Cricetulus griseus: one gene and its partners. The protein of the gene in region 1 purifies or fractionates together with the protein of each later gene. This does not show direct contact. Links are inferred from orthologs where the notes say so. Each region holds a gene or a part of one and is shown in the gene's direction. Other genes may lie near its edges. The genes, in order: Asf1a, Ubn1, Hat1, Chaf1a, Tonsl, Cabin1 and histone H3.3A.

What was found.
Region 2: the proteins of Asf1a (region 1) and Ubn1 purify together in Homo sapiens (affinity purification with mass spectrometry; 6 studies listed by BioGRID and IntAct, counting the BioPlex papers as one, with this or other methods). This does not show direct contact. The link is inferred for Cricetulus griseus from reciprocal best matches to the Homo sapiens genes ASF1A and UBN1.
Region 3: the proteins of Asf1a (region 1) and Hat1 purify together in Homo sapiens (affinity purification with mass spectrometry; 4 studies listed by BioGRID and IntAct, counting the BioPlex papers as one, with this or other methods). This does not show direct contact. The link is inferred for Cricetulus griseus from reciprocal best matches to the Homo sapiens genes ASF1A and HAT1.
Region 4: the proteins of Asf1a (region 1) and Chaf1a purify together in Homo sapiens (affinity purification with western blotting; 3 studies listed by BioGRID and IntAct, with this or other methods). This does not show direct contact. The link is inferred for Cricetulus griseus from reciprocal best matches to the Homo sapiens genes ASF1A and CHAF1A.
Region 5: the proteins of Asf1a (region 1) and Tonsl purify together in Homo sapiens (affinity purification with mass spectrometry; 4 studies listed by BioGRID and IntAct, counting the BioPlex papers as one, with this or other methods). This does not show direct contact. The link is inferred for Cricetulus griseus from reciprocal best matches to the Homo sapiens genes ASF1A and TONSL.
Region 6: the proteins of Asf1a (region 1) and Cabin1 purify together in Homo sapiens (affinity purification with mass spectrometry; 4 studies listed by BioGRID and IntAct, counting the BioPlex papers as one, with this or other methods). This does not show direct contact. The link is inferred for Cricetulus griseus from reciprocal best matches to the Homo sapiens genes ASF1A and CABIN1.
Region 7: the proteins of Asf1a (region 1) and histone H3.3A purify together in Homo sapiens (affinity purification with western blotting; 8 studies listed by BioGRID, with this or other methods). This does not show direct contact. The link is inferred for Cricetulus griseus from reciprocal best matches to the Homo sapiens genes ASF1A and H3-3A.

Annotation. Positions count from the first base shown.
Region 1 is NC_048595.1:255,440,030-255,443,986, reverse strand, and holds the start of Asf1a (histone chaperone ASF1A), read left to right. Parts: upstream 1-1,157; 5' UTR 1,158-1,561; coding exon 1,562-1,670; intron 1,671-3,957. UniProt on the Homo sapiens protein: Histone chaperone that facilitates histone deposition and histone exchange and removal during nucleosome assembly and disassembly.
Region 2 is NC_048600.1:41,616,859-41,620,358, reverse strand, and holds part of Ubn1 (ubinuclein-1), read left to right. Parts: intron 1-1,113; coding exon 1,114-1,363; intron 1,364-1,595; coding exon 1,596-1,685; intron 1,686-3,500. UniProt on the Homo sapiens protein: Acts as a novel regulator of senescence. Involved in the formation of senescence-associated heterochromatin foci (SAHF), which represses expression of proliferation-promoting genes. Binds to proliferation-promoting genes.
Region 3 is NC_048599.1:103,798,461-103,802,604, reverse strand, and holds the start of Hat1 (histone acetyltransferase type B catalytic subunit), read left to right. Parts: upstream 1-1,344; 5' UTR 1,345-1,487; coding exon 1,488-1,494; intron 1,495-3,124; coding exon 3,125-3,229; intron 3,230-4,144. UniProt on the Homo sapiens protein: Histone acetyltransferase that plays a role in different biological processes including cell cycle progression, glucose metabolism, histone production or DNA damage repair. Coordinates histone production and acetylation via H4 promoter binding.
Region 4 is NC_048598.1:97,479,983-97,483,366, reverse strand, and holds the end of Chaf1a (chromatin assembly factor 1 subunit A), read left to right. Parts: intron 1-16; coding exon 17-468; intron 469-2,293; coding exon 2,294-2,416; 3' UTR 2,417-2,884; downstream 2,885-3,384. UniProt on the Homo sapiens protein: Acts as a component of the histone chaperone complex chromatin assembly factor 1 (CAF-1), which assembles histone octamers onto DNA during replication and repair.
Region 5 is NC_048595.1:373,912,895-373,916,394, reverse strand, and holds part of Tonsl (tonsoku-like protein), read left to right. Parts: intron 1-211; coding exon 212-337; intron 338-588; coding exon 589-775; intron 776-2,446; coding exon 2,447-2,529; intron 2,530-2,631; coding exon 2,632-2,721; intron 2,722-3,500. UniProt on the Homo sapiens protein: Component of the MMS22L-TONSL complex, a complex that promotes homologous recombination-mediated repair of double-strand breaks (DSBs) at stalled or collapsed replication forks.
Region 6 is NW_023276806.1:262,833,259-262,837,495, forward strand, and holds the start of Cabin1 (calcineurin-binding protein cabin-1), read left to right. Parts: upstream 1-1,437; 5' UTR 1,438-1,748; intron 1,749-1,829; 5' UTR 1,830-1,980; exon of another isoform or gene 1,981-1,991; intron 1,992-4,237. UniProt on the Homo sapiens protein: May be required for replication-independent chromatin assembly. May serve as a negative regulator of T-cell receptor (TCR) signaling via inhibition of calcineurin. Inhibition of activated calcineurin is dependent on both PKC and calcium signals.
Region 7 is NC_048598.1:13,474,756-13,478,701, forward strand, and holds the start of histone H3.3A, read left to right. Parts: upstream 1-1,146; 5' UTR 1,147-1,291; intron 1,292-2,845; 5' UTR 2,846-2,868; coding exon 2,869-2,996; intron 2,997-3,946. UniProt on the Homo sapiens protein: Variant histone H3 which replaces conventional H3 in a wide range of nucleosomes in active genes. Constitutes the predominant form of histone H3 in non-dividing cells and is incorporated into chromatin independently of DNA synthesis.

The DNA of each region.
Region 1 (3,957 bases):
AACTGCAGATTAATACTTAAAAGCAATTTTCAATCTGAATTTTATTTAATAACGTTTCGTAGTTTAATTCCAAAGGGGAGAAAACACAATAGTAAATTGAGTAACACCTCAATTTAGTAAAAGGAAACAGTTTACTTTCACAAAGGTGTTAAAAGCTTCTGTTTCCCCCTCCACAATAGCAGCTCAGTAGCATAAATAAGCAACATTTCCTCAATTGGCCTTGAAATGGTTTCACAGGCATTACAGGCATAGAAGGGCTCCTCAGAATTCGTAATGCTATTTTTAATGTACGAATAGTTGGTATAAATTTCTTGAAGACCAAATGTCATGGTATACTTTGTTTTCTCCTTCTCAAACTCTATTGTAATAAATTTGTTGTCCTTCGGTCTCCTGACACTTCCCTTTTCTTGACTTCTAACTTCTTGCTCTGCTCCCCCAAAGGGCAGAAACATGACTGATCCCATCTTTTCCTCTTATCTCCCCTTTCATTCTATTTCAGGTCTGAAATGGGAAGAAATCCAAGGTGCAGCCAAAGATCGTATATTTAGATTTGTTTTCCGGTCTCTGTCTCTCTCTCTCTCTCTCTCTCTCTCTCTCTCTCTCTCTCTCTCTCTCTCTCTCTCGTTCTCTCGTGTGTGTGTGTGTGTGTGTGTGTGTGTGTGTGTATGTGTGTGTGGTGTGATTTCCCCGCCCTCATTTTCTATTGCCAAAACGTCGATAAGTGGCCAAGAACTTGTCTTCCAAAATGGCTTGCTCCTTTCGAGCTGCCACGGGTCTACGAGATGCAATGTACTTCCATTGCAACCAGCCCTTCTTCCTACTCCCTACCATCACAGGAAGCACACACAGCTGGGCCTGACGAGCGCAGAAAATCGCATCTTATCCGCTACGTTCAGCAGAGCCCGCAAAGCCGCCGCACCGAAGAACAGACGTTAAAGGCGGGGCGGACAGCGGAAAACCCAAAGGCCCACGCTTCGCACATGAGGGGCCAGCTCGCGCCCTCCCGCCACGGCCGCCGGCCCGCCCCCTCTCCGGCCCCGCCCCTCCGTCCCGCCGCGGCCACGCCCGACGTGAGGCGCGGGCCCGGCGGGCGGGGCGGGGCCTGCGCCGCCCCTCCCCCCTCCCGCCGGCGGCGGCCTCCGCGCGGGCCTCCCAGCCCCTATTCCACTCACTTTGTTCTGCGCCTTTGTCCTGGTCCACACCAGCAGGTGGAGCCGCAGTGAAAGTTTCCCGTCCGTTCCGCGAGCGGGAGCCCATCTTGCTCGCCGCCACGGCCCTCGCTGGAGGAGGAGGGTCAGAGCTCGGGGGCAGCCAATCGCGCGCAACGCTGCTAGTTATCAGAGCAGAATGGGCTGTAGTTTAGTGGAATAGGAAAGCTGCAAAACACTGTGGAGTGCTGCCGTGTAAATAAAAAGGGGGAAAAAAAAAGTTTCTCAAGTCGCCGCTGCACGACGTCGGGCCGCGCCGCGCCGGGGCGGGGGTCTGCGCTCTCCGAGCGGCCGCGCGCGGGACTCTGTGGTGCCGCCAGCCCCGGCCCCATTGTTTGTGTTTTCTTCAAAATATGGCAAAGGTTCAGGTGAACAATGTAGTGGTGCTGGATAACCCGTCGCCTTTCTACAACCCGTTCCAGTTCGAGATCACCTTCGAGTGCATCGAGGACCTGTCTGAAGGTGAGCAGCGCCGGGCTGTCAGTTGTGGCGGCGGACGTTAAAGTTTCCCGGCCCGGCCTCGCGCGGGGTGGGCCGCGGGCGGCGGGAGGGCGGCCGGGCGGCGGCCATGCGAGGGAAACTTGAAGTTGAGGGACGCCGGCCGCACCGCAACTTGCGAGCAACTTACCGGCGGAGGAGCCATGTTGTCAGCTTTGTCTGTGGCGGGCGGCGCTGGGCGGCCCCGGCTCGTGAGGCGCCGGCGGGGGTCGTGCGGCCTCGGCGGCCCCAGGGCCCCGCGGCCCGGCGGGGAGCGGAGCCATCTTACCCGGCGGCACGACGCCTGCTCCGGGCCGCCGGGGGCGAGCGGGCCCGCGCCTTCCCGCCGGGGCTGTCCTCGCGCCGCTCTCCGGCTCCCTCCACCAACCAGCGCGGAAGGCGGGCGCTGACTCGGCCCCTCGGCGCCTGGCTCCCGGGGACCGTCGTCCTCCCCGCGGTGCTCCCGGCGGGCGCCCGGGATGCTGCGCGCAGGCTCCCCAGCAGTGTGGACGCCTCTCCAGGAGGACGGAAATCTCTCTGAAACGGTGCGGGGCTAGGAAGTTCCACCCTGCCCAAGAGCCAAAGCTGGGCGCTGCAACAATTCCCGGTACTGGCTTCTAAAAAGTCTCCAAGACTTTCCCCAGAACGTACGAAGATGCAATTAAAATAACTCCACGGCCAGGCGGATAGAGAAAATACGGACGTTGGCTAGGGAATAAAAGCCAAAGTCTTTTCTGAAGTACGTTTTGCGGTTTAAAAAAAATGCAAAATAGTGAAGGAATACAGGATTTAGAAAGCTACAATGAGGGATTATCATCAGTTTTCTTAGGCTTTTAGTAAAACCAGTGCTTCATTTTCAAAATTTGAAACAAAAAGTGTAATAACTTCATCAGTGTTAATTTAAGTTAGTTAGGAGGACATCTTGGGACCTGGAAGTATTTCGTAAAAATGCCTTTAAGAGTATTATCCTCACCATGACGGAAAGAATTTTTCTTTTCATTTAAAAGTTTTAAATCCCCACAGTGTACTTTATGTAGGATGTTAAGTTTAATTATAAAACCAATATATGCCCGTTGCAATAAACTTTAAAAAGTTGGAAAAGGAAGTCACAGCTCTTTCACCCATTCTTTTAGCTAACCACACCATCACTTTAAAATGTACCCCTCTGTTGTTTTTAATACTTATATAAAGTATAAATGCACAAAAATTTAGTATGTAGGAAATATTTTGAAGAATGACTCATGATTAGAATATAGTAGTCTCCTAATAGGCTGTGGTGATGTAAGGTTGAGGGTAAGTTTTGCTTAAAACTCCATTTGTTACTGTCCGATAGTATTAGTAAAAGCATTTCCACACCAGACCCATTTCCAAACACAACATTGGTTTTTCTTCTTAACTGCCAATTTATATATAAAGATAAAGAAAAAAGCATGGGTGAGTCCATTCTATCCCAATAGCAGTGTGTTCTAGGCATTAGAAGTTCTTCATATTACAGGTATTTCTCAAGCGATGGCTTCCATTTTAGGATTCAACTTTGTGCAAGGAAGACATGATCTAGGATATTGTTATAGGGTGGCTCTACAGGATAGTTCGAAACCAGCCATCCACAGAAACCAAGTGAGGTTCCGTTTTAAACTGGGGTCCTTTCACATCAATGGTATCACTCTCATGTCAAGAATACCCTTACCTCTAGTACCCTTCAAAACCAGGGCACCATTATTTTAGGATATTTTAAGCTGAGTCATTCCAAAGCTGCAAAGGAATCTTTCAAAAAGGTGCCATTTCTGTGTACTCCATCTAGAGGCTGTGTGGAGTAAGGAAATGGAGTTGACTTATTTTGCAAAAGCTCTTTTCTAGGTTCCATACTTCTGTTGTACTGTGATTTTTTTTTTTTTTTAATTCTTAAAATCAAACTACAAAATCCTTCGAAGGGAATTTTGAGTCTATAATTTGGGTCTACCCCCAACCTACAGATTAGCCACCATTTGTTATGCTCATCAATCATCTTCAACTATTTTAATTTTCCTTTAAAAGCTGCCCTGTAGCTTTGCTTCAGAAGCCTTGAGTAGTATTTGCTCTAAGGTTGAAACAGTTATTTCTTATACTGGGCTTCTAAGAGTAGAGCACATTAAAAAGTGGGATGTAAAGGCCAGTGAGATAGATGGCACAGCCAGTAAAGCTACTAGCTACTCAGCCTGACTACCTGAGATCGACACCGGAATCCACATGGTAGAGGGACAACTGACTCCAACCAGTTGTCCTCTGACCTCCA
Region 2 (3,500 bases), on another chromosome or scaffold:
ACAGTGACGCTTTCAGTTAACTTAAGAAGCCAATGATTGGTTGGAAGTGTTCACTTTCACATGAACATAAATATATAGGGAACCATTTTCAGTTGGATCTTTTTAAATGAGAAACTTGCCATTTGTCCATGTTTATGAAGGCTTTGGATGGGATTCAGGGCTCCTCTAGATTTTAAATTTGTCATGAAGATAACTTCTGGGGAGGGTGTTTTGCTTGTTTTTTTTTTTTTTTTTTTTTTTTGTGTGTGTGTGTGTGTGTGTGTGTGTGTGTGTGAGTGTTTTGTCTGCATGTCTACCATGTGCATGCTGGGTGCCCACAGAGGTCAGAAGAGGGTGTTGGATCTCTTGGAGCTGTAGTTAAGACCATTGTGAGCCATCATAATAGGCAATGGGAATCAAACCGGGGCCCTAGGGAAGAATAGCTAATTTTTAACAACTCCAACAGCTGGGCAATGGTAGTGCATGCATGCCTTTAATCCCAGCACTTGGGAGGCAGAGGCAGGTAGATAGATCTCTGAGTTCTAGGACAGCCTGGTCTACAGAGCAAGTTCCAAGACAGCCAGGGCTACACAAAGAAACCAGAAAACAGACAAATAAACCAACAAATAAAACCACAAAGGTCTTCACTGAGCTATCCCTGCCCATTTTTGTGTTACATAAATTTATATAATAAATTTAAATTAGTGTATATAAATCTGTTTATATATCTATTAGTTTGTATGTGCATTATGGATATACACATGCTATATATATACACATATATAGTAACCATACATATTTTTTGTTTTTGATTTTTTTTTTTTTTGAAACAGGGTTTCTCTGTGTATCCTTGACTGTCCTGGGACTTACTCTGTAGACCAGGCTAGCCTCAACTCATGGATATCCCCCTGCCTCTGCCTCTCCTGAGTGCTGGGAATAAAGGCGTATGCTACCACTGCAGGGCTCATACATAATATATTACTTCTCTGCTTCATAAAAGAAACATATTTGCTATTTTAGGAATTATCTCTGTGCCCTAGAAGCCCCTAGATGCTGGCTCATAGAGACTTCCCCATTATTCTTTTGAGTGCTGAGTAGTGAGGTTCTTATTGTGTGTGTGTGTTTTCTCTCCAGAAAGGAACCGGAGGGGCAATGCTGCTGTCCAACACTTCTTCCTTAAGCCTGCTGTCTTCATCCTACAAGCCCAGCAACCCCAAGCTTCAGGGGGCTATGAACTCAAACTCACTGGGAATCATAACCTCTGTCCCATTTCCACTTCACGTGCTCTCCTTCAGTTCAGACTCCTCTGCCAAAGCAGGGGTCTCTAAGGATGCCATTGTTACAGGCCCAGCCCCTGGGACCTTCCATCATGGCCTCAGCCACAGTAAGTTCTTGTTTCCTGCCTCTGTTTCTATGTTGTGTGCCATGTTGGATCCTCTATGTGTTTGGTGTAACTGTGGGAGCACCCCTGTCCTGGGAAGCTGCTTAGTGCCCAGTGTTGTTGGTTTGTTCCAGATTGGCCTACAGGTTGCCTGGGGCTCTGAATCTCCCAAGCTGCTTTTCTGTTCTGTCTTCAATGTGTGTGTTTTGTTCTCTCCCCTCCTGTTTTCTCTCAGGTCTTCTGGCTGGCTTGCACTCCAGCCCACCCCACACAGCGCCTCTCCCACATACTGCTGTGTCCACCCATGTCCCACAGAGTCTGCCAGGTAAATGCCAGGTGGGCAGTGTGCCATGAGCCCTGTGGGCCATACCCCTTCACCCTTAGGTGCTTTGCTGCCAGCGCTTTTAGTCATCTCTGCTTCACCCTCACTGTTTTGTATTTTGCTTTGTCTTTTGAGGCTCTGGCTCTTTGGCTTTGGGTTCCAGAATAATATAACCCTGTACTACCAGAGGCTTTTCCTGGTTTCCTTTTTGAATGGCCATAAGGTCTGACTTAGCCTGTATAATAACAGTATATGTTGAGCCTGAACATGAAACAGAGGAGCTCCAACTCTTAATGTGCATTTAAAGAGAAGAAAGGTAATGGTGGCTCTTGTCCAAAGGTTAACCAAGTACTTCAGGGCCTTCATGGTGAAATACTACACACCTGCCAGGCATTGTCAAGTGGCAGATACTCTTTGAAAGGAATAAATATCCACAGAACAGGAAGAGAACATAATACATGACTATGAGAGAGTTAGTATGGACCCAAAAGAGAAGCAGTTTTCAATCTACCCTGGTGTAAACCTTCCTTTAAAACAGATTTGGAAGCACACCAGGAATGAAGCAATCCACCTTGGTGTAAAACCTTCCTTTAAAACAGATTTGGAAGTACACCAGGAATGAAGCCAGTGTCTCCTGACAGAATGGTGCTTCTGGAAGTAGGCAGCTCTAAAAGCCCTAGGTACATGTATTGCCAGCTTGAGAGCATGAGAATGGGGAATATTTGCCACAGGCAGCCATCTTGTAGTAAGTGGACTGGTCTCACTCTGTCCTGATTCCTGGATTCTTGCATATAGGCACCTCTTGGGATTTTGGCTTAGGGGCCTGATGAGAAACTGATTTTGACCTAGTGTTCTTAGCACTTTAGACCTGTTCTAAACAGAACCCAGGCCTATACTAGGGAGAGGAGGGCTGAGCTTAGGGATTATGGGGATTTGTATAGGGCAGGAGTCAGATGCAGACTCGAGGGCTATGTGTGCCTTTGACTGCTCATGGACAGTCTGGGCTCACAGCTCCTTGTGTGCTTTGTGATCTGCTTGTGTGTTCCTTGAAGCCATGTCTTAAAAGCTGAGAACTCTGTAGTGAATATCAAAGACCTTGTTAGGATGAGGGTGAGTTTGTAGGTTTCTTTGAGGAGCAAAGCCAGTGTCAGTTGTCACTCCTTTCCTCTGAAGAAGCAGTCACATCTGAGGACTTTCTCTGCACTGGTGGCTGCCACTTAAATTAAGTGCAATGTGGGTGACTCCTCAGCTACTGAGAGCCTGTGTGGTGTGAAAGTGAGATGGTGCCACCTTCCACTTGCTTTGGAAATGGCTCTCTTTGAGAGAAACAAAGTAATTGAAGAGTAGAAACAGACTCTGGGTCTGTGGAGTTTTCAGTCAACAGAGGCAGGAGGGAGACTGGATAGAGGGGGGGCAGGGGAATCAAACACTTTTTGTACTATTTTCCTGTTTTTCCCCGTGGTCTTCCAAAGCTATCTGAAGGGTTGGGGGTGTAGTTCAGTGGTCAAGCATTTTCCTATCATATATAAAGCCCCAGGTCTATTACCAGTACCACAGAGAGGAAAAGGAAAAACATCGTAGGCAATCAGAAGAGCAGCCATGCAAAATGGGTTAGCAGGGAGCTGAGACTTGTTTCTGCTCTTCCTTCTTTTCTCCCACATGGACTTGATGCTGTTGCTTTTGCCTTTGTCCCTCTGGTATCTGAGTGCATTTTGATGTTAAGAGAATGAACATTGTCTGGATTCTGTGTGGTCATCAGGCCTTGCAGTGGCCCTTGTCATGTTGCAGAATTTCTGTTCTGTAGACATTGCTCCTCAG
Region 3 (4,144 bases), on another chromosome or scaffold:
AACATATAATGGCAAGGATATATATGACCATTCCAAAAGGTCAGGAAGGGAGCACAGTGAGGAAATACTGGACCAAAGCAAGACAGAGAAGTAACTGGGCAAACCCCAACCTCTGCATCTCCATGTCTGATGTCAAAACACTCTTCAGATAACTTCAGCTTGTGTCAAGTTGACATAAATCTCCCCAGCACAGTCCTCTTTTATAATTTTTTAAAAATAAATTCTGTTGGTACGATTCCTCTAGAAAAGTTGACTAACACAAGGAGCACATAACTTAAGAGGAGAGAGGGTCACGATTTACAACCTAAGGACAGATCAGGAAGAGAGGCCTCCCTTCTGTGAAAACCAAAAAAGAAAGGGAGTGGGCAAGGAAGAAAGGGAAAAAAAGAGAATCAGCCCCAGGAAAGGAAATTGCCAAGTTCCTCTTCAGTTGTCTACAGTCTCTGGAAGAACCCAATTCTCCAGATACTCAGGTCTCCAGAGGCTGAGGGTCCTGGGTCAGTGGACTGGTAACTACCAGGTTCCTGGCCTTTACAGTGATATAACCTCTTCAATTGTACAATATAAGCCAAGATAATAAATCTTTTTGTTGTTGTTTTGTTTCTTTGAGACAGGGTTTCTTTGTGTAGCCCTGGCTGTTCTGGAACTTGCTTTGTAGATCCGGCACGCCTGGAACTCACAGAAACAGGCCTGCCTCTGGCTCCCAAGTGCTAGGTTTAAAGGAGTATGCCACTACCTCCCACTCTGAGTTCTTTAATATGACACTGTTTATCATATTGAAATCATGAAGTTTATTATGGACCAGTGGCAAAGTGTTTTGCCCAGCGTAAGCATGACTCTGGGCTGGACACCCAGTTCCAAAATACGAATACAATACAGAGAAAACGATTTAAAATGGGTTATGGCAAAAATAGAGACAAGTAAAAAATTTAAAACTTCGAATGAGCCGGGCCGTGGTGGCGCACGCCTTTAATCCCAGCACTCGGGAGGCAGAGGCAGGCGGATTCCTGTGAGTTCGAGACCAGCCTCGTCTACAGAGCGAGTTCCAGGACAGCCTCCAAAGCCACAGAGAAACCCTGTCTCAAAAAACCCAAACCAAACCAAAACTTCGGAGTGAAACGTGTCAAAGGGAGGGATTTTCAGCCTCTGCGAGGGAGAGGGAAAAACCGCCGTAGGCTGTCTGAGAGTTAGCGTTAATTCCCATGAAAATCTCTAGCAGCCAACAAGCTGCGCGGGGCTGCGCGCGGAAGACCAGCAGCAGGGATGTACGCCCTCGCGGTGGCTAGGCAACCGCTCGCGCCTTCTCACGGTACTAGCCCCGCCTCCTGAGCACTTCCGTCCCCGCGCTCCCAGAACTACCTCCTCTCATTGGCTCGTGCCTCCCCGAGGTTGGGCGGGGGAAATGCGTCATCATTGCGCTCATTTCCGGTCCGGGAGCGCGCGGGTTGATTTGTCCTTCCTCAGCCGCGGGCCCTCACAGCTCGGAAATGGCGGGTAAGTTCCCGGGAAAAGTTTAGCAAGGGGAGGAGGCGGGTGGTTCTGGGGAAGAACGTCGAGGCGGCTGTGACAGTGGCCGACTGGAACTTTCGAGCTCTAGCCGAAGTTCCAGAAGGCCTCTCCCTGCCGCGAGGCACCGAGCGTCGGAGGCTGCCTCCCGGTGGGCCGCGCTCGGTGCCGCCGCCCCCAGTGCTTGCGCTCCGCGCCTTCCGTGGGCCACCGGGCCCTGCCGAGGAGGGTAGGCGCGCCCGGGGCAGAGCGTGCGATTTCGTCTGGTGAAGCGTGGTCAGCATCGGGGCCTGTTTTTCTCTTTCATTTTGCCCGCTGCTGCCCTAATGTAGTCATCGGGTTCATTTCCCGCCAGCTGATGCTCCCAGGGCCCTGCCCACCTTCCCCACGGCCAGCTTCTGTGCGAGCGCAGTGCTGCGCTGACCTGTTCCCGGGCACACTCTGGGTCTGTTAACCCTGCAGGATTATTGAGATAATTTTTAGATGTCTTTTGAGAAAGACGTTTCTGCACTGCCGAACTTCTATTTTAGAGTGGGACTTGTGTACTGTATGTAGTAGTTGGTATTCTCTTATTCTGGTTTCATTTGAGTCTTCTAGTCTTCGGTGTTTAAGAATGTTTAAATTGCCGGGCCCTGGTGGTGCACTCCTTTGATCCCAATACTCAGGAGGCAGAGGCAGGAAGAACTCTGTGAGTTTGAGGCCAGCCTGGTCTACAGAATGATTTCCAGAACAGCCAGGGCTACTCGGTGCAACCCTGTCTCGAACAAAAGTAAATTGCTATTGAACTGTTTTGATGTATTTTCTTTTGAAGTGGTGGGTATTTTCTTTTGTAATTATCCCCTAGTCCTTCACATTGAGTCACCATCACTACGGGTTAAACTCGCTCCACTTTTACAGGTGGGCTGGATTACCAAACTGTGTAGTTTGAAATTTGCTTGTGTTTAAGAAACGAAGTTGTCTAGTAGGATATTGGATTACCCTGTTACCATAAAAGAGTTACTGTATAATGAAAATTACATCAAAAATTCGAACTTGAGCCCTACAATTAACCCTCTTCCTTAGCCTGAGTTATTGAATGAGGGCTGAAGCAGTACATACTTAAAGGTGATTTCTATAACCGGTTTCTTGAAATGAGTTTTGTTACCATCATGCAGGGTACACTGGCTCCAGCTCAGTGCTGTCATAGCCTCCTGCATGAATTACAGGCCTGGCTCAAGAGTGGTTTTATCTTCTGTTTTATGAGGCATTCTTTTTCCTCTTTCTTTTCTTTTTTTTAAAGATTTTATTTATTTGTATACAACATTCTGCTTCCATGTATATCTGCACACCAGAAGAGGGCACCATATCTTATAACGGATGGTTGTGAGCCACCATGTGGTTGCTGGGAATTGAACTCAGGACCTCTGGAAGGGCAGTCGGTGCTCTTAACCGCTGAGCCATCTCTCCAGCCCCCTTATGAGGCATACTTATGCAGTGTATTTATTGAAGGGTTCATGGAGAGAGACCTGTACTGTTGTAGCATGTATGTTTTCCATCTTATCCTTAGCCTACTTCAAATAAAAATCCTGCTTGTAGGTATTTAAATCACTTCTAACCAACCTTTCAAAACTTCTTCTAGGATTTGGTGCAATGGAGAAATTTCTGGTGGAATATAAGAGTGCAGTGGAGAAGAAATTGGCCGAGTACAAATGTAACACCAATACAGCGATCGAACTGAAATTAGGTACGTATGTAATTTCAGAATGATTTATATAACATGGCCTTTTAAAATTTGAAATAAAATTTTATTTTAAGAATAATTATATAACTGGTATTTCCTGCATTTGTGAACATTGAGTTTATGCTGTGGAATGGGTAGGTGGAAGACAGCAGTTTAACACATGGGAAAGATACTGTGGCAAAAAGTCACAGGTATGTGTAATCTCAGCTTCTTAAAGAAATTTACTTTCTTGCTTTTGAATATGATAGGCAGTAACTGGTGTTGGTGAGGATGTGGGGAAAAATCATGTATTAGTGGTGAGTATCTAAAATAAAATAACTTAAGCTTGCTAGATCTTTAAAAGACAAAAAAGCATAAATTACATATATGAGCCAGCAGTTCTATTAGATGTCTGTTCAAGAGAAATGAAGAGAAATGAAGATATTGTTCATCTAAAAACACATGTGTATTCACAATGATCAAATGGTGTAAACAACTCACGATAAAACACCAGTTGGTAAACAGATAAAGTATGCTATAGCTATTCAGTGGAATACTATCTGATAGTAAAAAGGAATGAACTCCTGATACCTTTCACATTGTGGAGAAACCTTAGAATATGATTAGTAAAAGAAGCCAGGAAAAGTCAACCATAGTGTATAATTCCATTTGTATGAAATGTTCAGAAAAGATATCCATAAATCCATAAAGACCAACAATAGAAAATCATTACCCCAGACTAAATGTAGGAACAGAGTACTCATGGAATTTTTTTGTGCAAAGTAGAAATGTTTCAAAATTAGTTTGTGCCTAAACTAAGTTTACTAAAATCACATGCTTAAGTAGAAAAAATAAATACACATTAGTGAATCCTGGTTACATTGATTTCCATACCTCAGTTTCCTTATCTCTAAAATGTAGTTAATAGTACTCATCTTT
Region 4 (3,384 bases), on another chromosome or scaffold:
CTGTCTCATCCCACAGTCCTGGCCCAGCTGCTACCGCTGTTGCATGGCAACGTGAATGGAAGCAAGGTGATCATCCGAGAATTCCAAGAGCGATGCCGCCGTGGCCTGCTGAGCCCCACAAACGCCACTTCACACCCACAGACACCTAACTCAGAAGATACTGTGGTCGTGCCATCCAAGGCCAGGCTGAAGCGCCTCATCTCTGAGAACTCGGCCTATGAGAAGCGGCCTGACTTCCGTATGTGCTGGTATGTGCACCCACAAGTGCTCAGGCGCTTCGGCCAGGAGTGTCTGCCTGTGCCCTGCCAGTGGACCTACGTCACCGCTGTGCCCTCAACACCCAGGGAAGACAATGGCAATGCTTCCACCGAGGTGCCTGGCCAGGGCACACCCATGCCAATCAAGCGGAAGCCAGCAGCCACCATGTGCATTACACAGTTCATGAAGAAAAGGCGGTACGATGGACAGGTGAGCTACAGAGGGCATGGGCCTTGTTCACCTGTGTCTAGAGGAGAGCTTTGTGGCGCTGGTTCCCTCCCACCTTCATGTGGGTTTTGGGGGTGGAACTTGGGTTGCCAGGCTTGTGCAGCAATCACCTTTACCCACTGGGCCATCTTGCTGCCCTTCTACAATAGCTGCAGAGTTGCAGTAGCACTGAGCGGATGATTGCATTTGCACAGCAGTTGCCTCTACTGCTACATCTTACTCCTCATGGTGAAGTCACCCAGAGGCCGCCACAGTTGGCTGAGTTGTTGATTTTTAGTGACCCAGCCGTTATGATTCCATCACAGGTCACAGCCTGTGTCCCACTTGCCCTCCCACACTAGCAGCCATGTGTCTGTCCATGTCCCCAAATGTCATAATCAGGGTCACACAACAAGTAATCCCTTGGCCTGCTATGTTTAGTTCATTCTTGCTTGATAACTCCTTCTAACTCTGAATGGTACTTTGTGCACATGGATAGGTGAAGCACCATCTCCTGAGCTACATGGGCAAGCGTGTGATAGAGCATCAGAGCCCTGCCCACTGAAGCAGTGTCAGCGTTTTTTGTTGTTTGTTTGTTTTTCTTTGAGGTGTCCTTTCTGTCACTAGAAATCTAGCTCACTCACTACATGTTGACATCTCAGGTCCTCTTCTGCGATGTTAGAGGGCACGGGCTCTAAGTGTTGCCTGACACTGGCTACCACTGTGTATGGACACTCTTCTTGTCCTTCTCTTAATGATCTTTGCCGTACCCCACATGAACAGGGAGCAAGGCTCAAAGGCACACTTTGCTGTCAGCCTTAGCCCTGAGGAACCCCACAGAGCACAATGGTGGGCTTTTGTATTTTGTGACTGAAAGTGTTGCCTCCAGAAGGCACAGACCCAGCATGGTGCTCACACAGTGCCCTAGACTGCCTGGGTCTGTTCTTTAGCAGCCCAGTGTTCCATCAGACTCGCTAGATCTGCTTGTAAGGAGTGGAAGGAAGTCCAGCCTTCCCAGGTGTCTGGCCACCTTGGGGAGGGGCAGCTATGCTCTTGAATGTTCTGTGTTCAGTCATTTAGAATGCAGAGTAGTTCAGCTTTTAGCTGGAGCTGTGATCACATCAGACTACTGTGCATCACTGGGCCCAGAGTGCCCCAGTCTTTGAGACTTGGTTTTCCCTGTTTTAAGGATTTATCATGTTTTTGTGGGTAGGTCTGCATGTGAGCACAGTATCCATAGAATCTCCCAGAGGACATCAGATGATCTATCTGCAGCTGGGGTTAAAAGCATTTGCGAACAGCCATATGGGTGCTGGGAACCAATTCACGTCCCTTGCTAGAGGAGCCAGGGCTCTTAGCCACTGAGCAACCCAGGCTACCTTCAACTCTTTATCCTCCTGCCTCAGTCTACACAATACCATGCATGGATGTAGGCAGACATCTGTACAAGAGGCATTCAGACTTGTAGAGAAGCAGCTGCCTTCCCCCTGTCAAAGGCCAGTGGGCTGTTTCCTCACCATGTGGGGTCAACCTGGCTACATCTGTCTTTTCCCCAGAAGCCCATGAACTGGCCAGGGATCCTCACAGCTGCAGGAAGCTCCAAGTCTTAGCCACCAGGAGAAAGAAATGCCAAGAGAGTAGGTGTTCCATTGGTTCTTTGAAACCAAAGTTGAGAAGCCAAGCCACTCAGGTTGCTCTGGGATGCTGCTGTTGGCAGCTTTTAGACGGGTGTGTGGCTCACCTTAGCAGAGTGCTTGTAGCCATAGGCCCCAAGCCATTTTGTTGGGGAGTGGATGGTCAAGATGCTGACAGGCTGTATTTTGTGCAGGTTGGCTCTGGGGACATGGATGGCTTCCAGGTAGACACAGAAGAGGACGAGGATGACGATACAGACTGTGTGATCGTGGATGTGTCAGAGGCTCCCATGCCTGCACCCACACCTTGCAAATGACAGATGTCAAGTTGAAACTCCTGGGGAAAAGTGACCTGGGCTGCAGGGAGTGGAGTGCAGGCGCCTGGAGTGCAAGGCTGGTATATGGCATGGCCTGGGCAGTGGTGGCCATGCCTCCCCTCAGCCTTGTAGAGCTGCTGAGGGAGGTGGGGATGGGCACTAGCAACAGCCTGCTATGTGGCACTTGAGCAGCCACCACCAGACTCGCCTCCTGCTGACTCCCATGTAAAGAGCACTTTGTCCGACACCCCAGGGTGTGGAGTCTAGAGGAGGCCTGAGCAGTTACTTCCAGACTGTAAAGCCCCCAGGGCTATGTGCTGATCTACCCTTCTTAGTTAAGCATTATCGACAGCTGATTGACAGGTGCCTGCTGTGGTCAAACACCTGCTAATGAATTGTACCAGGGACACTGAGGCTGCTATGCAGGCCCTGGGCAAACATGAACGTGTATAAACATACTCTACCTGAGCCTGTCTTGTCATGACTATCATGTTACACTGGTGTGTCCTTCCACTTGTACCCTGCAAAGGTCATGGGCCCAGCCAGAGCATGGTTAGGATGTCCCCAGCAAGATGAATGTGTCCCTTGAAAGGGGGCCCCTAGTGTCATCTTCCCCAAGGGAAGTGCCATGCCTGGCCTGTTCTGCCCCAATCCCCAGCATGTGCACTTTGCTGATGCCCTTGTTCTACCAGCGCCTCAAGAGTCTGCTTAGCCTGGACCTGGTTTGCTGTAGGATTTCCACTGTCATGGTTGCTGCCTTGTGTGGCTTTGATGAAGACACCAGGAGGCTGGGTTTAAATAGCCTGTTTATTTGGGTTCATAACTTAGGAATTACAGTTCCATGCTGCAAGGCACCTGCTTTCTGCTGTCTCCAGCACAGGTATGGGGCAGGCTGCTTCCATCCATAGTCTGTGAGGCCTGTGCCCATGCTGCAGACCCGCTCTGCCACCTGTGCTGGGCTCCCAGAG
Region 5 (3,500 bases), about 120 Mb from region 1:
ACCTTGAGCTCACCATTCTCAGGTGGTGGGTGTGAGAGGATGCTTTTCCCCTGGAAAAGCTGTTCCTTCCAAGGGCTATCGTGGAGATGGGACAGGGACAAAGCACGTCTTCCAATTTCATATGACGAGCTGAGGGAAGCCAACTTGTGGCTGGTCAGCTGGATATGCTAGCTAGGCAGCCACCAACCTTGCGTTTCTTTTTCTGCTCCAGGAGGCTAACACTTGGTTCAATATTGCACTGTCACGAGAGGAAGCTGGTGACGCATATGAGCTGCTAGCGCCATGCTTCCAGAAGGCTTTTAGCTGCGCCCAGAAGGCCCAGCGCTTCCAGCTACAGGTAGAAGGGCCCACCCCACCAACAGTGCATCCACAAATAAATCCAGCTCTTTTTTTTTCTTTTTTCTGGCTTTTGAACCAGACCTTACTTATAACCTATATATCCCCAGCCCTTTTTGTATTTTCATTTTGAGACAGGGTCTCAAAGCTGGCCTTGAACTTAAAATCCTCCCACCTCAAGCCTATCTTTTCTTGCATTACTTGCTCTCTGTAGTCCTGCTTGTTCCTAAACTGAACATCTCCATCCCTCAGAGGCAGATCTTACAGCACCTTCATGCCGTGCAACTAAAGTTGCAGCCCCAAGAAGCCCCCGACACTGAAACAAAACTGCAGGAACTGAGTATGGCAAAAGACACAGAGGAAGAGGAGGAGGAGGAAGAAGAGGAAGAAGAAGCCAGTGAGGCCCTGGAGACCAGTGAACTAGAACTCTCAGAGAGTGGTGAGGGCCAAATGCTGCTTTGCATGCTGGGTGGGCTGCACATGCCTTTTCCGCCTGGTTCTGCTCTAAGATGATGCCTGGGGTGGACTGGTGTGTATTGGAGATGTGTCTACATGGATCCTGCTGAGGACTCAAGTGGGTAAAACAGCTGCAGGTAGGGAGGGCAACCAGCGCTTCTGTGGAGGTGACTGGAGGGCGCTGGCAGCTCATGTAGAACATGGGGCATAGTAATCAGAAGCTCTCTGAGGAAATCACTGGTCAGAGGCAGAGTGAGCATCAGATAGGAAGGGATGTTTGGGGTCTAAGTCTAGGAAAATGGTCCTAGTAGAGGCATGTGTCTAGGGGAGGTGAGATGCTGTGTCATGGATGGCTTCATGGGTGGTAGACTATGATTGAGGCCCCATACTGTGCTGCCCCCTCACATGAGACTCTTTCCAGCAGTGTTGGAAGTGATCCATGGCTGTAGCATGCTCCCAGAACTCAAGGCCAGTGTGCTGAGGGGTCTGGTCAGTGCTAGGAATGAAAGCATCTTGGCTATGTGGGACAAGGCAGGAAGGGGTCCCTGGAGCTGAGGGCTGATTTCCAGATGGGTGGTTTGTAGATTCGATTTCTAGAAAAATCTTGACTTTAGGTGTGAACTTACAGGGCTAGAGCCTCAGTACCTGGGAAGTTGGGCCATGTCTTAGAAGATAAGTCAGGTTGAATATTGGTATTTAGGTGTTCTGAATAAGAAGAGAGACCAAATACTTTAACTTAGGGAGTGTCATTCAGCTGGTAGCCACAGCCACAAGATAGGGGCAGAGAAGAAAAGAGTTATAGAAAGGGCCAGAGAATGCCAGGAGGGAGCAGAAGACTTAGTGAGGACAATCTGGCAAGAATCACTAGTAAAGGGGAGACCAAGAGGCCAGTACCACACAAGGCAGCAGGCCTGAGTAGGTGACTTACGCTGATAAGGGTACTTCCTCAGAAAGTCTGTAAATGAGACTGATCTGCAGGGCAGTCTGGTTTTAGGCCCGCCCACATGGACAGGAGTTGAGTGAACAGTTCCTCTGATGATGGGCAACTCCCTTTCTTCAGCCCCTGTGTGTAGTGGAGTAGTGAGATAGAAGTGGGCTTCCGGGCTGGAGAGATGGCTCAGAGGTTAAGAGCACTGACTGTTCTCCCAGAGGTCCTGAGTTCAATTCCCAGCAACCACATGGTGGCTCACAGCCATCTGTTATGAGATCTGGTGCCCTCTTCTGGTGTGCAGATATACATGGAAGCAGAATGTTGTATACATAATAAATAAATAAAATCTTAAAAAAAAAAAAGAAAGAAGTGGGGCTTCCACAGAGGTGGTGCACACCTCTAATCTCAGCACTCAGGAGGCAGAGGCAGGAGGATCTCTGAGTTCCAGGACAGCCAGGGCTACACATGAGTAACCCTGTCTTGAAAAACCATAAATCAATAAACAAACAAATAATATATAAACAGAAGCGGGGTGTTGGTGGAGTTGGGCTGGGCTGGGAGTTAGCTTTGCTTTACCTGGCTCCAGAGCTCACAAACCCCAGACTTCTACCTTCCTGCCCCTGGCTGCTCTGCCCCTGGCTGCTCTGCCCCTGGCTGCTCTGCCCCTGAGGTCGGAGGAGATGGTATGCTACGGGCTAAGGGTCAGTGGACTTGTTCTTGTAGAGGATGACGGTGACAGCCTGTCTCAGAAGCTGGAGGAAGATGAGGAACTTCAGAGCTGTCTGGGCCGGCGGAAGGCAAACAAGGTGAGGACATATCCTAACCTCCCTGTTGTCCAGCAGCCCTGTACCCAGCAATACTCCTGCCCCTCACACTTCTGCCCCATATCGGGGCAATTACTCTTACAGTGGAACAGGCGCAATGACATGGGAGAGACCCTGCTGCACCGAGCCTGCATCGAAGGCCAACTGCGCCGCGTCCAGGATCTTGTGAGGCAGGTGGGCCAAAATCCCTAGAGAGATCACAGATGAGGGAGCTGTGAGCCCAGACAGGATCTCCTTTATTGCTTGTTTTTAGAAATAGACAAGATGCTAAGTACCTATGTGGCATCCCTGCTGTGGGTGAATGGGCTGGCCAACCCAGGACAAGAATGGCCAACAGACTGAGACCTCTGGCATCCTCCCTCCCATTGCAAGCCCTGTAGTCAGGCACTATCTGTACCAAGGCACAGGATGGCACATGGCCCAAGAGTCTACTATAATAGTGTAGCCATAGCCGGGTATTGGTAGCACACGCCTTTAATCCCAGCACTCGGGAAGCAGAGGCAGGTGGATCTCTGTGAGTTCGAGACCAGCCTGGTCTACAAGATCTAGTTCCAGGACAGCCTCCAAAGCCACAGAGAAACCCTGTGTCAAAAACAGAAAGAGAGAGAGAGAGAGAGAGAGAGAGAGAGAGAGAGAGAGAAGTTTAACCATTGAGGCACTGGGAAGGGCAGGACACATCCTCATTTTCTTTCGTAATACCTAAAGAGGGAGAGAGAGAGCTATACCAAGAAGTAGACCGGGCGGTGCTGGTGCACGCCTTTAATCCCAGCACTCAGGAAGCAGAGGCAGGAGGATCTCTGTGAGTTTGAGACCAGCCTGGTCTACAAGAGCGAGTGCCAGGATAGGCTCCAAAACTACAAAGAAACCCTGTCTCAAAAAACAAAAAAGAAATCGACCTTTGAGGTCCACTCTAGGTTCTGGCACAGGTCTCCAGCCATCAAGTCACAAATTTC
Region 6 (4,237 bases), on another chromosome or scaffold:
AACTCAGTGCTGTTTTCCTGAACAGACATTAAATGATCTGTATTATTAGTGTGTGCCAATAAAACATCAAATTGAGAATCTTGTTCTGTGGAGTAAACATAGTTGCCAAATAGTCTTCCTGTCCCTGCTGCTTTAATTTGAGCACTACTGAAGCCTTTCCCAAAATGTAGACGTGGAGTTCCTCCTGTTTCACTGTCCAGTTGTTTTTGCACTCAGTTCTTCTGGCCAAGGTACCCTGATTGCTAAAGTAGCTCAAGAGATGTTTGCAGGTTGAATGCTAATATTTACAGACCTGATGTGACTTTTCCTGGGGAGATATTAAAAGATGTCTCTTCGCCCTGAACTAATGACAGAGCAAAGAAAGTTCCTTACAATGAATGTGGGTGGGAGTTTACTTACAGAACGTGAGCGACTCAAACGCAGATGCAACACTGAAAAGCCTACCCAGTGTGGGTGACCACTCAAAAAGCTGCATATCCAGAGCTCGGTGAACAACGTGCAGGCAACTTGACTGACATGAAAGTCTCCTCTTCCTGGCCATTGTTACACCCTCATCTAACTTTTGGAAGGTGTCTCAGTTTGCTTTTCTATTGCTGTGATTAAAAAAAATAACAAAAAACAAAATGGAGATTAAAGAGTTTATTTCACCTTATACGTTACAGTTGTAGTCCATCAAGGAATATGTGGTGGGATCAACCAGTAACCCCAGTAGCCCGGAGACCGAAGAAAGAGGGCTGCCACAAGTTCGAGGGTAGCTCAGACTGTGGTGTGAGACACTATCTTAAGTAAAAGAACAAAACTGGGGGCTAGAGAGATGGTTCAGCGGTTAAGAGCACAGACTACTTACTCTTCCCGAGGTCCCGGGTTTAATTCCCAGCACCCACATGGCAGCTCACAACTGTCTGTAACTCCAGTTCCAGGGGGATCTGACACCTTCATGCCAGTGCACATAAATTAAATGAAAAATAATCTGTTGAGGGCTGGCGAGATGGCTCAGAGGTTAAGAGCACTGGCCGCTCTTCCAGAGGTCCTGAGTTCAATTCCCAGCAACCACGCGGTGGCTCACAACCATCTATAATGAGATCTGGTGTCCTCTTCTGGCCTGCAGGCATACATGCAGACAGAACACTGTGTACATAATAAATAAATAAATAAATAAATAAATAAATAAATAAATAAAAAATATTAAAAATATTCATTAAAAAAATCTGTTGAGTCCTGCAAGAGCTCAGGACTCTTGAACCGTAACAGCAGCGGGCCCCCCCAACTCTGTGATCTGCGGGGATCACAGAGACACAGCGCGCAGGGCGCCGGCCAATCCGCTCAGACGGCCAGGAGGCGCGAGCGCTCGCGTCGATTGGCCGACACAGCCGGCACTCCAGCCAACGAGAGCGTTCCTTGTTGAGCGCGCGGCGCAGGGGAGTCTGGGTGCTCCGGCGGTTGCCGTGGAGACGCCGGGCGAGTTCCGGGGAGTAGGGTTTGCGGGTGGCCCCGGGATGCGCGCCCAGCTGCGGTGAGCGCGAGGAGGCGGAACCACGCGACAAGGCCGCGGCTCTCCGCATCCCCGACAGCCGCGGGGCCGAAGCCAGACCCGAGACCCGCCCGGGCCTTCTGCCCATGCCGGCTCCTCCGCGCGACTCCCGCCGTCGCCGCCGCCCCGAGGTGCCCCGGGTGGGTCACTGTGACCGCGGCGCGAAGCCACCCGTCTGTGTGCGTCCTTTCGTTCACCTTCACGGCCGCCCGGCGAGGTGAGTGCGGGGTCTACGCGGGTGGAGACGGAGGCCGAGGGAAGGTTTTTTTCACAGTGTTTTTTTTTTTTTTTTTTGAAGTTACAGCAGCGGCTTTACACCCCGCTGCAAACCCTTCCGCTGACAGCCTCCCCGGCGGTGGCCGGTGGACGGATGGACCTCACCTGGCAGGCACTCCCGGTGTCCGCACCTGTGGGTTCCGGAGGCTGCTGAACTCCCCAAGACTTGACTTGTTAGTAGGACGTGAGTGTGGATGTTTAGAAACAGAATTTGGAACGGTCTCCTGCCGGAGCTGGCGAACCCTAGCCAATGTGTTGATATGTAGTCGTAACATGTAGATTTAGTAAGAATGGCAATACTTTTAGCCCTGTTTTAGATTAGGGTGGCTATACTCTGGATGCCTGTGAGTGCAAAGGCAAACCTAGTCTACATAGCGAGTTCCAGGACGGCTAGAGCCACATAGTGAGACCCTGTCTCGAGCTTCCCCCGCCCCCAAAGATTGCCAGCCTTCTAGACCTCATTAGGCCCCGCCATGTGTTATCACTGGGTGACAGTGCTGAGGAGCTTAAGTTCTTTATCATACGACATTGGGCCATGGAAACTGTACCGTCATAGTTTATGGTTGTATGCATCGATTTTTATATTAATCTTTAGATGGCTTTAATTATTTTTTTTTTAATTTTAAATATTTTTAGGTTTGTTTGTTTGTTTTTGGGTTTTTCGAGACAGGGTTTCCCTATGGCTTTGGAGGCTGTCCTGGAACTAGTTCTTGTAGTTCTTGTAGGCTGGTCTCAAACTCACAGAGAGCCACCTGGCTCTGCCTCTCCAGTGCTGGGATTAAAGGCGTGCACCACCAACGCCTCGCCGTTTGTATTTTTTTTTCAAAGCAAGTTTTCTCTGTGTAGCCCTGGCCGATCTAGAACTCATTCTGTCAACCAAGCTGGCCTTGAACTCAAATCCATCTACCTCTGCCTCCCGATGTAAGGATTCAGGCATTATGCTGGTCTGCACATCACCTGGCAGAATGCATTCAGGCAGTACCCTGGTCATCCCAGGTGCAAAGGACACCTTTAAAAGGAAGATCTACGCCCACCTAAGCTCTTTGCCTCTGTCCCTCTGTCTTCCGATGTTCCCCTGGGGCAGACAGGGTTTCTCTGTGGCTTTGGAGGCTGTCCTGGAACTAGCTCTTGTAGACCAGGCTGGTCTTGAACTCACAGAGATCCTCCTGCCTCTGCCTCCCGAGTGCTGGGATTAAAGGCGTGCGCCACCGAAGCCCGGCATTTTCATACCCATTCTTAAACCTCAGTGTGCTTTTCCTGTTCTCATTGTTGGCTGGTCATCCTAATGCAATAGTGAGTAGTAGCAGAGATGGTGGCCATCCTGCTTTATTCCTGTTTGTAACGTTTCTCCATTAAATACTATTTTGGCTTTAGGACCAAGGTATTTATATCTTATCATGACAAGAAGCTCTCCTTCAGTTCCCATTTTCTTCAAGTGTTTTTCTTGTTCATAGGTATTGAATTTTGTTAGGTGTTTTTAATCTAAAAAAGTTAATTTGTTTTAAGACATCTGTGTGTAGCTGCTTGTCTGTATCTGCATTATGAGCATACAGTACCTGGAGAGGCCAGAAGAGGGCACTGGATCCCTAGAACTGGGTTACAGGTGGTTGTGAGCCCCGATATATGAGCTGAACCTGGGTTCTCAGCAAGGGCTGCCAGTGCTTTTAAGTGCTACGCTGTCTCTTTATGGACATAATTGTATGACTTTTAACATGCTTTAATCATGTTTTCACTTTTATATTTTGTTATATTTATTTTAGTTTGATTTACTTTTTTAATTAATTTTTTCATTTATTTTACATCCCAACCATAGTTTCCCCTCTCTCCTCTCCTCCTGACCCTCCCCCCCCTCCACTCCTCCTGTTTCTATTCAGAAAGGGCAGGCTTCCCATGGGTGTCAACAAAGCTTACCTAGAAGTTTTTTTGTTACTTTTCTCACTAAACTTGGAACTTGTCAGTAGTTGGCTGGCCATAGAGCTCCAGGGATCTTCGTCTTTGTTCCCTAGTTCTAGACTTGTAGATGCAGCCAGGGGCTGTGAGCTGAGGGCCTCATGTTTGCACAGCAGCCACTTTATCAACGGAGTCGTCTTCTCCCTTAGTTACAGGCTTTGTTCAGAACTATCTTGGTTTTAAGAATGTTTATGGAAAGTGTGTGTGTGTGTGTGTGTGTGTGTGTGTGTGTGTGTGTGTGTGTGTGTGTGTACTTGCTATAGTAAAGATGTGAAGCCTAGAGGACAACCTTGGGTGTTGGTCCTTGCCTTTCATCCTCCTCCCCTTTTAAATTAAAATGATTATTGGGGCCAGAGAGATTCCTCAAAGGTTAAGAGCATTGGCTATCTTCCAGAAAACCCAGATTAGATTTCCCATCACATACATAGCAGCAAACAGCTGCCTGTAACTCCAGTCTCAGGGGATCTGATGTCCTTTCTG
Region 7 (3,946 bases), on another chromosome or scaffold:
TCACAACCCTATGGGATCTCTCTTGTACCGAAAGCCCTCACCCAGGGCTGTGAAGCCTGGTCCCTACCGTCTGGGGGTCAGCTAATGACAACCTGAGCTGCGCCGTGCTGCTCAAGCTACCGAGCGGTGCTGGAAAGCGGGAAACACGGCAAGCCCTGCGGCAGCTCTTCCTTAGTACCTGCCGTTTTCAGCCTCTTACAGCGACAGCCTTAAGCTGCTATGTCACAGTCTCCTTCCACAGCGATCTTCCGAGGAGGGTGAGGCCGCTCGCTGAGCGGCCCACTCGGGCTGGACCGGCAGCCGGGCCGTGCGCAGCGACAGCTGTGCTGCACATTGTTCCCGAGGCTCACAACACACAGCCATCTTGCATCAAGAACGGCGGCCCAGGCAGGAGCGGGTGAGCGCGGTGTCGCCGCCGCCGCCGTCGGGGAAGCAGCGCTGGCAGTGGCCGCCCCGCCTCTCCCGGGTAGAGTCCGCGACGGGCTTGTCCTCAGGCGATTTGGCCCGGCCCTCGGACGCGCCCGCGCCCCGCGCCCGCGCTAGGCGGGAAGCGAACCGCGGGGCCCCGCCCCTGCCGCGCGCAACGGGCGCGGCCCGAGAGTGGGCGCGGGCCTCGGGCTTCCACTCGCCGGCTTCCGGCTCGGGCGCCTCGTCCACCGGGCGCGGCGACCGCGGGGCCGCGGCCTTCTCCCCGCCCCACGCGGGCGGGCGCCTCGGGGACGCGCGCGGGGGCGGCGCCCCTCCCCCCGCAGGCCGGGCGCTGGCCCGCGGCCCGCCCTCCCATCCCCCACGGGCCCCCTCGGTACCCCCCCTTATCCCTCACCCCCCCACCCCCGGGAGCCGGGGCTCCGGGGGCTCCCCGTGGCGCTGGCCCCGGGCGGGGAGGGAAGCGAGCGCGGGCCGGGCCGGGGGCGGGCGGCGTCTCGGCGGGCCCCGCGGCCCCTCGGCGTGTCTTTTGTGTTTGTACACACCGCGAGAGGCGGCGGGAGCCGGGGGCGGGCGGCGCGCGGGGTGGGGGGGCGGGGGTGGAGGAGGAGCGAGCGCGCGCGCCAGCGAACGGGCGCGCGGGGGGAGGGGCGGGGGGCGGGCGCGCGGGCCCCGGGGCGGGGCCGAGCCTTCCCTCCATTGTGTGTGATTGGCTGGCGCGGCGCGGGGCGGGGCGGCGTGTGTGGGGGTAGCCTCGGTGTCAGCCATCTTTCAATTGTGTTCGCAGCCGTCGCCGCCGCCGCCGCCGCTCTCTAACGCCAGCGCCGCCTCTCGCTTGCCGAGCTCCAGCCGAAGGAGAAGGGGGGTAAGTTTCTCCGTCCGCCCGCTCTCCCGGAGCCGGGCCCCGTCCGCCGGCGCTGCCGTAGCGGGCCGCGGAGGGCCCCCGCAGCCCCTCGGGCTCGACCCTCAAACTTTTTGGCGCAGACACGGAGACGGGGAGCGAGTTTCCCTCTCCTCGGGCGGCGGCGGCGGCGGCGGCGGCGGCAGCTCTCCGTCTCCGCCTCAGCCCGGCGGCGGCCCCGCCGCGCCGCCTGCCGAGCCTGCTGGCCCTCCCGCGCCGCGGGCTCTCCTTTCTTCGGTGAAATCCCGCCCGCCGCCCCTTCCCGGGACCCCAGACCTTCACCAGGTCCCGCGCGAGCCCCTCAACTGCCGCCTGCGGGTCCCGGGCCGCAGTTTGTCGGGCGCGAAATGGGTAAAATCGCCGTCGCTTCCCGCCCCGGGCGAACTCGCTTTTTGCTGCCTCCCCACAGTTGTGGCTGAGCTTCACCATCTTGTCTCTCTTCTCTGGTCACCGACCATGTTTCTTTTCCCCCCCGTTTCTCTCTTCCCCATTTTAAAATGGAAGGAGGAAAAAAATCTTAAGCACCTTTTTTTTTATTTTTTTGCCTTTTTTGGAGGAAAAAAAAGGAAACTTGATGCATATGAAATTCGAAATAACGAAAAAAAGAACTTTTGCATTTGGGGGAGAGCGGCACGTGGCAGGGGATGGGGTATTTTTCGAAGGGTTTGCTGTTTGTGTCTTTGGAAGGGAGTCGGATACATTTTGCAATTGTTTCCATTTTGTGCTAGCCTTGGGGAGCCGAGTCGTTCGCTGCCGGCACGGGGCGCCCGGGCCGGGCCGGGCAGGGCAGGTCGGGGACCCGGGACCCGGGGACCCGGGGGAGGCAGAAGCAAAAGTTTATGTGGTGCTGGGGTGGGCCGGGCGGCCGGTGTCGAGCGCTAATTAAGACTGGGTGCGGGGCAGTCGGCTGGCATAGCGAAGCCCGGGAGGACGGGCTTTGTGGAATGCTCGCTGGCAATAGCTGTTGTTCTTGTCTTTCGAGACGCCTTTTTGTCAACATAACCGTAAAGATAGAAACCTCAAGAATGTTTACAGATATTTACAGCAATCCAACTGCCGAGCGCGAGGCGGGGGGCGCGAACGGGGGGGGGACGCTGGAACCTTTTTTCTTTTTTTCTTTCTTTTTTTTTTTTTTGGCTGTAATTTGACTCGACCTTTCTGTGGTTTGTGGCTTCTTTCGTTTGACTTGTTTGTGATCGAATGCTTGCAGGCATTTCTAATTTCTACTTTAATTAAAGAAATTGAATTAAAACCCATTGGGGTGGTCTCGCTGGTTTTGGCCGTTTGTCGCTTGGAATTGGCGTTATGAGTATTAATGCTGACAATTTTCCGGTTTGTTTTAAGTCGTATTTGGGTAGTAGACCTAACCTGCGCCCTTTCAAATTAATTATATAACAGCCTTTTTTTTTTCTCAGTAATGATAGGTTTCTGGGATTTTTTTTTTTTTTAGGGGGTGGCTTCTGGCAAGAAAATGTATGTTTTAGTTGAATATGATTTTTTTTTTTTTAATACTGGTAGGTAAGTAAGGAGGTGCTCTTACCATGGCTCGTACAAAGCAGACTGCCCGCAAATCCACCGGTGGTAAAGCACCCAGGAAACAACTGGCTACAAAAGCCGCTCGCAAGAGTGCGCCCTCTACTGGAGGGGTGAAAAAACCTCATCGTTACAGGTATTTATAAAAGGGGGAGGAATAGGACAGTGTCTAAACAGTATGTCCATGTAATTTAACAGGAAGGTGAGGGAAAGATGTTTTCCTTCTGAATGTTTACTGCTGCTTGAAAATACACGTGCATATGTTCATTTATGAATACATGTAACTTAGTGTCAGGCTTTATTGATAACATTTTGAAGTTGTAATCTGATCTAAATTCTAAAGGGACGCGGTTCTCAACTGGTAGTAGGACACATTAACATTTTAACCATTAGCATTTTAAGTATGAAATGGTTTCATATGTGTATACAGGCACATAAAAATGGTTGTGTTTTTACACATACTTTTTGTTTTGGTTGACCCACACTTGTGGTAAAGTGTAGTACCTTAGGGAGACTAGTAAAGAAAGTCTCTTGGTCATAATTACTTGGGTTTTTCCCTCCTTTACTCCCTCATTTTATTTTTATGTAAGCACTGTTGTTAAGGACATCTGCCATTAGAGGGCATAAGTTGCCCAAATTTGCATAGACAGATTGTACAGTGAACAGCTCATAGAGTTGAAATAAGTCAAATTTAGGGGTTAAAGGATTTGTTTTCTCTCTTATCTTTCCCACTCTCTTCCCCCAATAAAGCTTCCCAAGTTAAAAAAAAAAAGTATTATAGACAATGACTTAATTTTAGAAAATTTTTCATGTGGGAGAAACAATGTGAAATCAAGTTTTCAAATTCAGTCATTCATGACTGGTGATACAATACTGGGAGATCAAATACGAGTGTTTTAAGTGAATCGTTGTAAATTATGTTGGTAACTCTTTTAGGACTTTAAAACCTAAGGCACAGATGGGGCAACAGAAAGTGTTGCTTAAACTGGGAAGATGTCTTTATTGCCAGCCTAACTTCGAATATGCTCCCAAGTCTTGTTTGTTTGTTTGTTTTTAAGGCGGGGCTCACTCTAACCTATCCTTGCC